Oreochromis niloticus: one gene and its partner. The protein of the gene in region 1 purifies or fractionates together with the protein of each later gene. This does not show direct contact. Links are inferred from orthologs where the notes say so. Each region holds a gene or a part of one and is shown on either strand. Other genes may lie near its edges.

Region 1 (8,192 bases):
CGTGACAAATGTGAATATGCACATGCTGCCAGTGACAGAAAACAAACAAACATCCTGTCAACATTAGCGTGATGAGGAGTGATGTGAGTCGATGCGTCTCACAGTGTGATATACGTGTGCGTGTGGGACGTGTAGGCTGACGAGAAAGAAAACATTTTTATTGTTCCTCTTGTTAACCGAAGGATTATTCGAGATCAGACGGGACAGGGCCGGACATCTAGTTGACGTTAAGTCTTTCTCTAACAAGACGGGTGCTCTCCACTCCGCACAAATCTTCTCCTTTCATTTTTCCTACCTTGCGCAGACACCTCCCTCCCTCCTTCCCTCCCTCCCTCCTTCTTCTCCATCTCTCTCCTGTCCCGTCTTTATTTCTCTTCTGTTTCTCTCTCTCCCCTCCTTTCTTTCCTTTTCTGCACTCCTCCCTGAGTGACAGCTCAATACCCAGCTCTCCCAGGCTTATCTAGCCTCAGCAGATGGTTGACTTGGATCACTGTTCATACGCCACGATCTGGGCTGGTGATAAAGACTGTTACAGAGGGAATATATGCTATCTCTCTCAGGCTTGCTCTTTCTTCCTTTTACTTCTCCTCTTGATCTGCGCTGTCATTCTCCCCCTCTCCATCCAACTCTTTTTAGCTCATTCGCTCTGCGCTCCTTCGATTTCTACCTGGACCCTTCCCACTCGTCTCCTTGTCGTGTCCTCCACCTTTCTCAGCTGTCCTCTTTGTCCCGCTCCCCCTTCAATCCACCCCTCTGTGACTCCTCATCTCTCTCCCATCCCTCAATCTCTGTGCATTGAATCTGGTGCTGCGTGATTGTCTCTGGTTCCCTGCTGGGCTGGCGCCTGTCTAAAGGGCCCCAGGACCCTCACACACTGAGGGGCTCCAGCCATGCCAGAGATCCCTCTCCTCTCGTTTCTCCTCTCTCCTCTCCCTCTTCCTCTCCTTCCCTTTCAAAAAGGTCGAATGGTGTCTTTCTTTTACTTTTGCAATGTGTGAGTTGCATGCAGCATGTGTGAGTTTCAAACAATGTGCCAAAAAGAACAGTTAGTAAACAGGTGAGATCAAAGCGCAGCGGTCTATACTCACATCTACACTGCTGTCTTTATGCGTTTAATTTATGTGATCACTTCACTCGGGCTACTGATGTACACTTCAAAGGCTGCCGCTGCCCATTTTATGTATGCTTCACTTGCTTGGTTTGGTCATTTGATGTCCTCCTCACATATTTTTCTTCTAATTCCACGCAAGCCAAAGGAGCAGGGTATAGCTGGCACTGCTGGGAAAAAAAGGGGTGGGGGTGGGGGCACAGGGTGGCGGGCAGTGATATGAATGAGAACATACAACAGACTGGCGAGGACATCACTTGCACGCGCCATACATTGGACCAACTCTGCGATGAATCCAGGTGTGGCACACGCGTAGAAATGATGCTGAAATTCAAATAAACAAGAATGGTGATGCTGCCGTGGGTACATATGGAGCCTGCCATCCCGTGTGAGGTGGAAAACCTCCCCTCCTTGCGATTTACTAGTGGCTCGCCTGCTCTCCAATACTCCAGACAATTCAAGGCCATCTTAATCTGAACGGTGGAATCTGGCAACCACTCCTGAGCACCTGCATCCGTCCAGCCTGACCCGCTTTTGTTCTGGTCCGACCCCCTAACTTTAGCCCCTAATTAACCCAACAGAAACTAATTAAATACAGCTCTAGTGGACCAGACGCCAGACAAAAAGAGAAGAAAAAAAATAGAAGAAGAAGAAGAAGGAGGACACAGGGAAGTGAGCGGAGTGAGGAGAGCAAGCCAATGTGACAGGCAGGAGCATGAGAGAGGAAGGGAGGAGGAGGGGGTCCAAAGTTTGGCCTCAAGCCCCTGAGAGCGGTTCAGACAGACAGGAAGACAGGCGGAGAGATTTGAAAGAGGAGGGAATTCGGGTTTCAGTGTCAACCCTGAGTTGTCTTTACCGTGTTCTCGCTCTCCGCTGATCTCCATACTGACCTTATGCTTCTTTTACATGCTGTCATTTTTTTTCTCCAGATATTTTGGGTTCTTCCTCATAGATTAGCACGTCTGCCAACTGCTGTAATCACAAGCGCACCAGTCACATGACGCAACTGACACCCTGGAGATATTTGGAATAGGGGAGAGCCACGGAAAGACAAGAGCAACGTGCAATGAAAGCAAGGCAAGGAGGGAAGAAAGGTGGCGGTGGCGGTGGCGGTTGTGGTGGTGGTGCGGGGAGAAGGTGTGGGACAGGCTTGTGAGAAAAAAGATAGGCCTATAAAAATATGGGTTCAAACCAGCCAAATGTCTCTGGCAGAGACGCTGCTGCTCCTCGTCCCAGCCACGGCTCGCCTAAGTGATAGAGAAAGTAATTAAGAGAAGCCTGTTCAAGTAGATAGGCCTGCAAAGGAGATTTGAAGAGGGGAACTGATTGTGCATGTCTGATTCCAGCTCTTCAGAGAGTTCTCAGCCCCAAGGCTTAGCTTTAAAAGAGACGTCTCTCTCTCTCTCCCTCCTATCTCGGCCTCTTTCTCTGTAATGTATATTTATACATAAAATATGACTCCCTTTCAAAACTCACGTATGTTCATGGTAGCTGTGTAGGACAGACAACGACTGAAAGATCAATCTGTGTTAGCATGAAAGAGCAAAGTCAGGCTCTCTAGCATCTGGCGCTCCCACTTAGACCTTTTGTGTCACGGTCTGGTTGTGGTAGACCGACTGGACTCAACTGTGTCTTTGTGAGAAAGCGATCCACTTCAGAGTACCTGGAGCTACAGCTGGAGGGCGCTACAGAGCGATACTGCCAGTTTGAATGGCGGTTTTCAAATCCTTGCCTCGTTTTGGTAAAACTGTCCACAGTTTGAGCAAATATTAGTGGGGCACGTCTTTGTGAACAAAATAAAGAACTTTCATGTGCAGTATAGTTTAAATTGTGTGCTGTGGCCACAGGTGCGAGCCAATCATTTTAATTTTGGAAAACATATTTATGGAAGTTGAGAGGGACAGGAGTAAGGATGCAGAGGAAAGACACCTATATGTCTCTTGTGGAAACTATTTAGTCATCAACACAGAAGCTGAATTTTGATGCGTGAATTAAAGGATTTTTGGAAAGGTACAGCAGGTCACAGTGTTTTTGCTGCAGATTTGAGTTCATTTGAAAAATTCCCCCCACTTAAGAGGAGCATAAATGTTGCAAGAAATCTGCCAGAAAAAACTGAGAAAAAGCTGGAATATCTGTCGAGGTCTACCCTGAGGTAAGGAAGAGACGTAGAGCAAGAAGAAACATCCAAAATGTTGACCGTCTATTACAGAAAAAGCAGGACTTTAAGGAGAAGAAAGCAAACTTTGGTGCTGGCAGGCAAGACAAATATGATGCTGAAGAGCTAAGAGCTATGATACAAGAGCTAAGCAGTACAGTTTTTACAGCTCTTAGAGTGAACTCACCCAAAACCTTTGATTCAAATAAATAAGTCATCACCACCAAAAACGACATTACAAACAAGGGGAGTCAAAAGATATAAATATTTGGTCAGAATGTGTGTGGAGAATAGAAATGCATAATTCAGCTTCTCATTTCCTGAAGTTCTTGTCCTATGAGTTAGGACTTTTTTAGAGCACTGTACTTCTGTTTTAAATATATCAAAGTTAATACTCTGTAATGTCTTGCTGATTTCAAGATCACCTAAATTTGTATGTTTTGTGAGGGGAAAAGCATGTGGTCACACAAAGATGTGCAACACAGTTAACAGGGTATGGGGAGCATCAATACTCAGAAACAGGTACTGCGGTAATAAAACATGGCCTATTGTGTGCAACAGAATACTACAGTAACAACATTTTTCAGAATCACTTGACTTCCTGTCGCTACATTTGAGTTTCAGTGACCTCACACTTTGTGTTCACCCTCACAGTGTAACAGGGGAAGGACCCCTGTGAAGTCTTCTGCGTTGTTGTCTTCTCCTTCCTATGCTGGCACACAATCTCTCTCCTCTCGCTCTCCACAGGCAGGCTGCTGCCTCCTGTAAAATTTTGGTTTTTGGTTGTTTTTTCTGGGGGGATTTCTTGGCACACGATATCACAAACTCTGTTCCAATACTACAAACTCATGACTTAGACTTGTGCACCTGGCAAATTTTATCTGGAGATTATTCCTCTAGTGTGAGCCTAGACTATTTTGATTACAAAGACAAATCTATATAGGTTTTGTAGTTGAGCAGGTGACCCGTATGCCAAAGGCTGCTACTGAGGCTTGCCCCAGACCATTTCATGCATGTCATTCCCTCCACGCTCTCCATGCTTCTCTGCCGGCTCTCTGTACTTTTGTGTCTAATAAAGGTTAGGGAAAAATGAAACCTTAAAAGGAAATAAATGTAACAAAAGTGAAAGACGAATATGAATGTGGTTCTTAGCAGACTAAAGGAAATGGTTAAATGTAAATATAAACAAAAAACAAATGTAATTATTATTATGTATTATTATCATGTTATGTGTAATATGAACAACTGCAGTGTTGTGGTTTTCTTGCTTCGCAGCATCCTGGGAATGATGAATTAACAGCAGCCTACAGTATGCTTCTGGAAAGGAGAGTAGACCATGATTGGATACTACTGGACATACACGCACCAACTTGCACCTACTTTGCAGGATGAAGCGACAAACTGGTCGAATGGCGGCATCTTGTGGAGAAAACGCAGTGTTGTTGTTGCTCTTACAAAACTATTCCATATGCTAAAGCTTCGGTTTGGCGCCCTCTGCTGGTAAGGAAGAATATGTTCTTGGGTTTAACAGGGCAGTACAAGGACTTCTTCAGTCACCTTTGACTTCTCCAGTGTTGCATTACCAGAATGTTGTGAGTACAGTGTGGTAATGCAGGGTACGACACAAACATATATATTATTTAAACTATACAGAACATAAAGGCGAACAGAAGGAGGTAAATGTCAGTATTGACTGGTTAGATAAATTTGACAAACAATATAAAAAGTTTCGCAAGGTGCAAGGATGACCAAAAAACAGCCTCGGGGGGCAGGGGGTAACAGAAGTGGGAAAAACCGTGCAACACTCATGCGTTACACTACTGTCGTAAAACGTGTATGAATGCCGTTGCAATGGCGTTTGCTGCGACGGCACTTTGCGGCAGCAGGGAAATCGAGGAGAAAGCAGCGACAACCATCGCCAGCGGAAACGTTATCGCCCCAGAAAACCCTGGATTTAAGCAATATTCGATGAACTAGCTCGTATATTGGTTGTATATGCCTTCGCCTTGTGGATGAAATTGTGTTCAACGTTTTCCAAGTGTCAATCACCACCTTAATGCAGTGGGATGGCCACAGTGCCGCCTGGGCCTAGTAGCGTACTGCCTGCATCCCCGGCTGAAATTCCTCCTTTCCCCGTGGCTGGGAGCGCGGAGCCGGCGGTGGAAGACGGAGAGCCGGCGTGCCACGGGGAGCAGTGTGTGCCCGCCGGTACAGGGACGAAGTCTCAGTCGGTAAACGAAGTCAAAAGGTCGGTCAAGAAGAAGCAGAAAAACATGCTAGCGCGAGCTAGCCCGTCGGCGCTTCACCTTAAAATGCAAGCCCGAGAGCAGCAGCAGTTGAACGGCTTGGCAAGCCCCTCAGAGGACCCTGACAGCCACCAGCACGTAGGAAGCCGGCCTGACAATCCCAGATCGTCCGTAGACAACTGTGACAACAGTATTGGCAGCAACGAGGAGGCTCCTGCCGCTAGGAACAATAGTGAGCACTGCCAACACGAAGGCCACAGCCCCTGTTCCAAAAACGGCAGTCACTCTCCTCATGGTAACAATAGCGTGAACGGGATGCCGGGTTTCACTACAGCTGAGGCGGCCTGCGAAGCGGGGAAAGAGTTGGACCACACGCCGCCCTCTAGACCTTCGAGTGACGAGCAGCCGGACGCTGCTGGGCCCGGCGGTGAGGAGAGCCAGGCTGACCTGCAGCAGCCGCCGGCCGAGGAGCTCGCCCGGCTCGACTTGAGCGGCTCCCCCGGGGAGAACCACGGCATCCGCTATGTCCGCTATGAGTCCGAACTTCAGATGCCGTGGATCATGAGACTGATCACCAAGGACTTATCTGAGCCTTATTCAATTTACACTTACAGGTACTTCATCCACAACTGGCCGCAGCTCTGCTTTCTGGTAAGTAGTAGATTGAACGCACCGCTCACAGTTATGAAGTCTGACTTCGGACTGGTTACTCTGAGTTGCAGGAGTATTATAGGAGTTGGGTGTGACAGCTTTATTTTTCACCACATGTCACTGTACGTCCAAGGCTGTCAGAGCTGACGTGTACTGAAGCTAAAGCACACACATGTCAATAACATTTCAGCTCATAAGTTTAGTTTCTATTTTACTGCTGGCAGGCAGTAAACAACCTGTCATCTACTGTTACAGATCCAACATTGATTCAGTTTTTTAGGTTATTAATGAATCAAGAAATGTGCCAGCCCACTCATATATGTACAGATTTGTAACGTAAAGCAATTATAAAATCTAATCGTCAGTATTAGCAGAGAGTAATGTGCCTTAGGTTTCCTTCTGCATGTGCTGTGTCATGGTAGCATTTTCTGCTTTGAAAACACTGGCCTGCCTTCTTTTCATTCTGTGGCCATCAAGGTCCAAAACATCCCATTTCCAGTTTTGGCTGGATCACCACATGTGACAGAAGAGGAAGTGCTATTTAAAAAAAAAAAAAAAGATAAAAAGGTCAGAGGTCAGCTTGTGGAGCCAGCTGAACTGGCAGGATGACAGGAACTTCAGAGGAACGGTTGCTAGGCTGTCAGCGGCCACCCCAGTGGACACTCGTAACCACTGAGCGTGTATTTTTTGTTGTGTGTGTGCATTTCAGGCCATGGTGGAGCAGGAGTGTGTCGGAGCCATTGTATGTAAGCTTGACATGCATAAGAAGATGTTTCGTCGAGGTTACATTGCCATGCTGGCCGTGGATTCGAAACACAGAAGGAAAAGCATAGGTGAGATCTCGGCGCTCCTCTTCAGAATATTCAGTCTCTCCCTTCACCGTCTTCTCTGCTGTCCCGGGCAACCAAATCTCTTTATGCAAATGCACCATTTAGATAGACTCTGCACTCAGAGTGATGAGTAATGTTATACTTTAATATATTGGAGATGGAGGCCATAAATGGGTTTAGCCTCTTACTTAGAGTCCACTCTTTTGTTTCAGGTACTAATCTGGTGAAAAAGGCCATCTATGCCATGGTGGAGGGCGACTGCGACGAGGTAAGCGAGCTAGACCCAGTGGCATTGTTTATGAACCAAACTTTAACACATTTGCACACATTACATAAGAGCCGTTATTCAAGCCAGAGTGCCAGCGTATTCAGTCGTACTGTGAAAATATGCATCCTACATAAAATCAATAGTATAAACACATGTTACACTGTTGGCATTCCCTTCTTTGTTGTAGATTTCTGAAAGGAACACAAACTGAAAGAGAGAACATTTATAGCTGTTTAAAGCCGTTTTTATTTCAAGGTCCAGTTTTCCTGGGCTGTCCTTCACTTATCTAAACTAGCTGGTAACCTTGATCTTCTACCATAAACTATTTCATATGCTCTGCCTCTCCCTGAAAAGCCAAACATTCATGCTGCTTCCTTTGCAGACTTTGAATTCTTCTAGAAGATGAAACATGTGATACAGCGTTACGATTTCTTCAGTCTCTTTGCTGGTTGAGACCAAAGAGCTGACACTCTGATACAACCCAGCAATATCCAGTGCTTTGAATGTGTACACACAAACGGTACATGTTTTTATAGGATATGTTTTTACTTATTTTAAAAAAGAAAAAGAACAAGTAACTGCAAGCAAATGTGTGGGTGGGTCTTCAGTGTCCTGTGCTCGTGCTTTCTATCCAAATATCTTCTCTTATAAAAGCAGTGACTTGCAATAGCAACTTAAATATTGCACTTACAGCTTGTTAGCTACCAAGATATGACACACAAGTAAGGTAGGTTTAGAGTTTGAGTATTTATTTGTCACAGTTGCAGTTGAAGGTTTCTAAGGTGAGGAAACGCTGTCACTATATACTGTACAAGTGCCTATCGATGTCTAAAGTGTTTGCTGTCCCCTGAAAATATTTCAACTGTTAATTTCATTTCATTTGTATAACGTTAAATCACAGCAAGAGTCACCTCAGAGACCCCGCGATAATACA
Region 2 (7,404 bases), on another chromosome or scaffold:
AATAATACAGAGAAAACCTCAACAATCACACTACCCCCTATGAGTAAGCACTTGGTGAGAGTGGGAAGGAAAAAATACCTTTTAACAGGAAGAAACCTCTGGCATAACCAGACTCAGGGAGGGGCAGCCATCTGCTGTGACCACGTGAGGGTGAGGGGAGAAAGACAGGACCAAAGACACACTGTGAAAGGGTTTAATATATGTAGTAACATTTATTTTTTGTATTTTCAGCCTTTATTTTGAAAGTATAGTATAAAGAGAAGGCAGGGTAAGAGTGGAGGAAATGGCCTGGGGGCAGACTCAGACTGTGCACCTGCAGCAGCCTTTGGCGTACAGTCACCTGCTCAACCACCCCACAGTTAAAGTGCCACCCACCCAGTAGCACCTGAAGCTTGAGCTCCCTGAGGAGGCCTCGGGGGTCAGACCACACCAAAGTCAAAAGGTCTTTTACATTCCATTCAGTTTGCATGCCGAGCACATGCAATTTAAAAAATGCAAGCAGTGTGAATCCAGGCTCACTGTCACCTCAGTGAACCAGCTTTCTAGTCTTACTGACCACACATTGTGGTTTACACTACAAGCCACATGTACACACATGACACCCACAGAGATATTCAAATAGCACCTTGCTATCTCTTAAAAAAGGAAGAAAAGTATGTTTTTAAAAGTTTAAAATCCACTTCAGCTAAAATTAAAGAAAGTTATATGTCTATAAAATTATATACAGTAATTAAAATAGTAGGTACACACAGGTATTACTACTCTATTTTTACATGCAGAGCTGTGTTATCCACTGTTGAACAAAGTCCTGCTCACATCGTAACCTAAGGAAGTTTTATATGACGATAACTTAAATGTTGCAGTGCAAGCACGCCTAAATCTCCCTGAACCCCACCATGACACAACCTTCTCTAACCCTCCTGTTGTCCCAACAGATCTATAAGTGAACGCAGGAGGGGAAAAATGTGGAAATATGCGCTAAATAAAAGTGTCAGAAGCTGAAAGCCATCCCGACCACGCGGCCGACAGCTCAGGCAGCCCGGCCGCTGTGACATCTCGTAAAGCCTCCATGTCTCCAAGTTCCGCGCTCCGTCTCTACGCTATGTGTCAGTCTGTCAGCTGTGGCTCCCACACCAATAACCGGGTATCATGTAAACAAGCATTTCAGTTACGCCTCGCCTGCTGAGCACGCTCCTCCTCCTCCTCTCTGCTGCTGCTGCTGCAACAGGTGCTCGAGCTGCTCCGGCTCGGCTCGCCCCGCGCCCACAAATGAGAGGAATTTTGTTAGTGTCTGATCCAAAGGCCACATCTGCCAAGAGAGAGACGGTGCAACGCAAGACAACATGGGCAGAGGAGACATGTCTGTGTGTGTCTGTTCACGAGAAGTGTATCAGAGTGTGTGTGTGACTGGAGTCCCCCCATCCACCCACCCACTAAGCCTCTGGCCACTGAGGTGTCTGTGGTTGCCAGATTGAGAGGCTGGTGATGTGGAAGCTTTGTGTGTGTGTGTGTGTGTGTGTGAGTGTGTGTATGTGTGTAGCTTACGTACCCTAACCCACACTATCTATGTGTGCGAGTGTGTGAATGAGGTATCTGTACTCATAACCGTGCATGTTTCTCACTATGCTTTTGCAAAAGAAAAAAAAAAGGATGAAACCAGCCAGGGCTCTCATGTGCCGTAGGCCCTGACATACTGCACTACTCTGCTGTGACTACCCGCCTTCCCCCTCCCCGCCCGCCCGCCCGCCACTACCAACACTCCCCGTGTCCGTTTGGCAGGGAGACATGTCGAGGATGAGAGAGAAAAGCCTCCCCTGGGTGCTGCGCTCCAGCTAACCCAGATTTTATGCAGTGTGACACACAGAGGAAGACACCGGCTCCTGAGCTCCATTCAGAGCTGAGCTGTCTGAACTGAGGCGACCCGGGGAGCAGATAATGCTTAAATAACAGGCGTGCAGCAGGGGCCAATCCAGCAGACGCTGGTGTGGGATTGAATTAGCAGCAGAAGAAGTGCTGATCAGTTGAGTTTTGGCTCAGCGTATTCCCTGAGCAGTGAAACAGTTGTAATAAAGTGTTAAAAAGTAAAGGTGGGACACAGTGCTTTTTTGGGTTTAATTGTGCCAGTTAATGGGCTCCAGTTGTAGACTTCTACATTTACAGATGATGATTTCTGGGAAAGTTTAATCAGAGACATAAGAGGGAGAGGAAGAGGGTGATGAAAGACTCCTGAGCTATCCAACTATATCAAGACTGTTTAGGACATAATCAGCAAAGTTTAAGTCTCTTAACGTCCACCAGATAAAGCATGACACATCTAGGTTTAGGGTTAAGGCTTCTTCGGACAGTAAAAGAAAGGTTTAGGTCATCATCTGTGATCATCATTTTAACCTAAACTATTAAAATGTGTAATTTTAAGTTTAAAAAGAAAGTTCTCTCAAGAAGCTGAGACAGGCTCCAATTACGACGCTGAATCTGATAAGCAGAAGAAGCTAGATGGATGGGTGGGTGGATAGATATGCTTCTCTCCAAAACACAGCACTAGGGTTAGGGATACCACTGATAATGACTTTAACCTCACATATTAAAAGCTTTTTAATGTGGGTGCTCCTACACTTCGCCGCAGATGGGTCAAAAACACAAAATAGCCTTCTTTTGCATGCTATTCGTGGAGTTTTGAAGGATAAAGAGGATACAAATCAGAATATGCTACTCACCTTTAGTTAGGACTGTGATGCCAGTCATCCCTCTTCTAAGGATTCAAGATACCATCAGCACAGTCAGCAGCAAGGCCAGCACTCACTGCCACTACAAAACCACCCAGGAAGATCTGTGGATTATGAGTTCAGATTTAAAAAACTATGCACACCACCTAGCTGAGGCTCTATTTTCACTCTGTAGTCATTCACATAGAGATGCGTCGATATACAGTGAATATGATGAAATGCTGCTGCACAAGAGCGTATCTTCTACAAAATCATGCTTTTTTTTTTAACATCAGTAGTTACATCTGTTCCGGGTTGTTTGCTGAACAGTGTTTGTCTGATCTTATCATATCGTGTCTTAACTTGATCTTTCCTTTCTCGGGAATCACTCACATAAATCTTGAGTCTACATTCTTTTTAAAGTCTTTTAAAATATTTCACAGCAATAATAAAAAAACGCAGGAAAACATAGGAACTGAATAGAAAAGAAACTATTAGCCCCTCCTCCAAACTCTACTTTGAGAGAAAAGTGCAAACCAGATATTTATATTCACATGCCAACATTCCAGTTCGACATCAACCGTCTTATCCAGTGTGTAACACTTAATCTATGCGGTCTATTTTTCCAAAACACATTTAGATTTAGATTTTTGGCACTTGAGAAAAAGAGGTTTCCTATCATAGTGTTTCTTCTTCTCTCACGCAGCTTCTCTATCCTCTTTTTCCTGTAAGTAATTGGGTTTCATGGTTCTGTTAGCAGATGTTTGGCACGGTGGATCTTTTGCTTATTGTTTCATCCGGTTGCCCTTTTCACTCTACAGTGTGTGTAACGGTGTGTTCACACCGTAACTGTTCATTTCATTTGTAGTTATGCTGACAGCCTCTCTCTTTACTTGTATTTTGAGTCAAAATAACTTGACTGCTTTTATTTGTTCTGCAGATATTGCGACTTTATTGTTATTGTGTTGCCATAATAGTGCAGTGAAAATGATATTTTTGCGACAATCATAACCACTGTAATGACTTTAGCAGTTTCCCCCCAGGTTTTTAAATGTGGTACTTTAGAAAGGATTTTTAAGTAACACTTGGTAAGTTATACAAGTCATCTTTTCAGTGAAGCTCGTGGATTAAGCAACGCGTACAAATCAGATAGAAATCTCAGTGATTTTATCAGTGTTTTTAAAGCGATGTGTCAGGAAATGAAGGGAAAATGATCCTGTAGCGGCCACCCGTGGCGACAGTGGGGACATACAGGCGAGCTTTAAAATACCACACTCCAAATTCTCCAGACTTACCCGAGAGGAAAACACGTAGATAGTTTTCGTTTTTGCAAAGTATGGGTATATGAGTTTTTAGAAGGCTTTAGCAAACAGTGCTAAAACGAGGCTAATGAAGTCTTTGATCAGTGCCAGGTGTTAGTTCCTCTTAAAATTAATAAATTTGCAGACTTAAACGTTAACTTATTATTATTAATATTTATCATTTAAATAATGTAACATTTTTTCTTTTTTTTTTTTCTTTTTTTTAATTCTAGCAGCATCCTAACGGACCTCCCCTTTAAGATGAAAAAAAAAATTGGATCGTTTCCGGTTTCGCTGGTCCGTCGGTGAAATTGCTCCGTAAGCAAATGCCGGAGGAGAAGAAGAGGGGCAGGTTATGGCCACAATGATTGAGGAAAATGGTCCTTCGACTCACGTATGTGTTTCTCGTTTTAATTTTTCAGTTTGTCTCAGGGTTGTTGGTGCTGTTTAACATGTCAAAACTGAGATTAAAAAATAGTTCAACGGAAAAGTATTTGAACATTGTCATTGCTTCAGTTGTAGCCAATTCGTTAGTCGGTGGCTAACAAATTAGCTTGTACATCTGACCTGGTAACCTGCGTTTATTTAACTGTTTTTATTTATATATATATATATATATATATATATATATATATATGAACGACAGACTACAGATTCACTATGTGTTGAGTTCTCCTCACCAAAAGGCACAGTTTGGTCATTCTGTCTCAAATCATTATTTTTTTCTCGACCGTCTCTGATTTACCTAAACATTTTATAGTCCAGAGTTTGGATATATATAATGATTGTTTTAAAATGTTAGCTTCATATATAAAATGTTTTCAATATATATGTTTTAAACCCCATCCACCTACTTTCAGGCCTTTTTATATCTCAAAACTATTAAAGGTAAAAGCCTTACATTTATAAGAATAGTGTACATTACTGTACAGTGTTCTTATTGTATATATTGTATATCTTATATCTATTTCATCTGTTCCTCTGTCTCTCCTGCTGCTTTGAGCATGTACATGACAAAAGAATTTCCCTCGGGATAAATAAAGTTGTTCTTATTCTTATTCTTATTCTTACATTTCCACAGGCCTTTCTTGAATCAGGAACTGTAATTTGGGACAGTAAAAAAAAATCACATTGCAGAAATGCTGTAGTGACAGTTTCTAAATGGTATATTGATTCATTTCACAGTACTGTAACATAAAACACGTAAAAAGCTTTTAAACATGAAATTCTTGGTCACAGAAATTAAGAAAATGTCATTTTAATTCAACTTTTATTCTGTGTTTAGCAAACATGACAAGTTGCACCAGGAAAAAAAATATCAGTCGATTGTCCTGTCGAAATAGAACAAAGTCCTGGAGTCTTCAGATGGTACTCTAATTATCACTCACAAACAAGTCTGTTACATATATGTGTACTTTTGATACCTACTTTGTAAGTATGCACATTGCTTTGGATGAGTTTGAGACTTCAGGTTAAGATGAGAATGTATTAAGAGATATGAGATTTAACAGGACTGCATGGAATTTATTTTCTCATATTTTATCTAGCTAATACTTAAAGATTTTTTTTTGGTCTGTGTGTCCCAAATTAAAGATCCTGATTCACATTTATGGTAAACACCAGTGCAAATTTCACACTTTTTTCTTAATAGTTTTTGAGATATTCACATTCAAACACTGTCAGATTTCAAAATTTGGGGGGAAAAAACATTATGAAAGTGGGTCAGTGGACAATTTTGAAGAAAATGTATACTAAGAAGTGTTTGCTATATGAAGCTGAAATTTCACAGCGGTCATTACATGTGTCTAAACAGGGCTTCTTTCAGGATTTTCCAAATAAAATAATAATGGATTAATAATGTGCCAATTAGGTCTTATTTTGCTCACTTTCCCTTATTGTCCTCCCCCAGGAGCAGTCTGAAGTGTCCTCATCATCTCAGGCACGGCAGAAGCTGGAGGGGCTCCTGAACAAGAACATGAGGATCCGCATGACAGACGGACGGACTCTGGTGGGCCTTTTCCTCTGCACTGACCGGGACTGCAACGTCATCCTCGGCTCAGCTCAGGAATTCCTTAAATCCACAGGTACGCAGAGGCTTGAGGCGACCTGAGCACAGCGTCCACTGATGCCTTTTACACCGTATAAAAAGGCTGTTCTGTTCTTTTTCACACCTCGCATTTTTATGGCGTTGTATTTATAAAGCATCTTTGAAGTGTCTTTCAATGCCAAACCATCTTAAAGGTTATCAATAAAGCTAAAAATAATACTGATCAGAACCAGCAGCTGTGGGAAACTCAAACGATGCTTTTGTCATTCACTTCGCAAAAAAAATACACAGGGAAATGGGTAAAAGTTGTGTTGTTTGTTTGCACTCTTTTGTGGTTTATTTGCTGTGACCTGTTGTTTCAAAACTCATGGAAATGGAGCAACTTTTATGTTTTGATGATGCAGTTAAAAATCATTTCATATTTACATATATTAATCTGTAGTTTAGTTACTAGATTATTGGTTTTGCTAAAAAACAAACTGTAGTGAAAGAGAAGATGATATTAGGTGCTGGAAACATTCCACCGCATCCCAGAGCTGCTCTGTTGGATGAGATCTGATTACTGTGGAAGCCATTCGAGTACAATGAGTTCATTGTCATGTTCGAGAAACCAGTTTGAGGTGATCTGAGCTTTGTGACGTGGTGGTTACACTGGGGTCATAAAGGGGTGGGCATAGTCAAATACCCCAGTTAGGCTGCAGGTATTTAGACTATGCTATGTTGGTAGCCAGTGATGCATGGCAGAGTAGCTCTTTAAACCAAACTCTGTCCCAACCGTCTGAATGTCACAGTAGAAATTGAGACTCAACAGACCAGACAACATCTTCCTTTGTTGTTATTGGGCAAAACCTTGCTGTTCTTTCTGTATGTGCTGTTCAGAGATGCTCTTCTGCGTACCTTGCTTGTAATGAGTTATTGTTGCCTTTCTATCAGCTTAAACCAGCTTGGCCGTTCTTCTCTGACATCAACAAGACATTTTCTCCCAGAGACCTGCCGCTCACTGGATATTTTCACTTTTTCATATCTTTCTCTGTGAACCGCACAGATGGTGATGTGGGAAAATTTCCGAAATATTCAGACTAGCAGAGTCACTTAAATCACCTTTCTTCCTCATTCTGATGTTTACATGTCTAAATGCACTGATTTGCTGCCATGTGATTGGCCGATTTGGTATTTACATTAACGTGCAGGTGTGCTTAAAGTTACCGTTGAGTTCATAACGATTGTTTAGGTATCACACAGTAAGCGTCGTCTGACCTGTTGTCTCGTTTTCTTTTCAGACACATTCTCCCAGAGCGAACCCAGAGTCCTGGGCCTGGCCATGATTCCCGGCCACCACGTGGTGTCCATCGAG

Evidence for each region.
Region 2: the proteins of naa30 (region 1) and naa38 purify together in Homo sapiens (co-immunoprecipitation; 3 studies listed by BioGRID and IntAct, with this or other methods). This does not show direct contact. The link is inferred for Oreochromis niloticus from reciprocal best matches to the Homo sapiens genes NAA30 and NAA38.

What each region holds. Positions count from the first base shown.
Region 1 is NC_031980.2:4,761,403-4,769,594, reverse strand, and holds the start of naa30 (N-alpha-acetyltransferase 30), read left to right. Parts: upstream 1-4,924; 5' UTR 4,925-5,329; coding exon 5,330-6,160; intron 6,161-6,869; coding exon 6,870-6,993; intron 6,994-7,202; coding exon 7,203-7,258; intron 7,259-7,640; exon of another isoform or gene 7,641-7,778; intron 7,779-8,192. UniProt on the Homo sapiens protein: Catalytic subunit of the N-terminal acetyltransferase C (NatC) complex. Catalyzes acetylation of the N-terminal methionine residues of peptides beginning with Met-Leu-Ala and Met-Leu-Gly.
Region 2 is NC_031967.2:19,663,812-19,671,215, forward strand, and holds the start of naa38 (N-alpha-acetyltransferase 38, NatC auxiliary subunit), read left to right. Parts: upstream 1-4,247; 5' UTR 4,248-4,358; coding exon 4,359-4,397; intron 4,398-5,912; coding exon 5,913-6,087; intron 6,088-7,330; coding exon 7,331-7,404.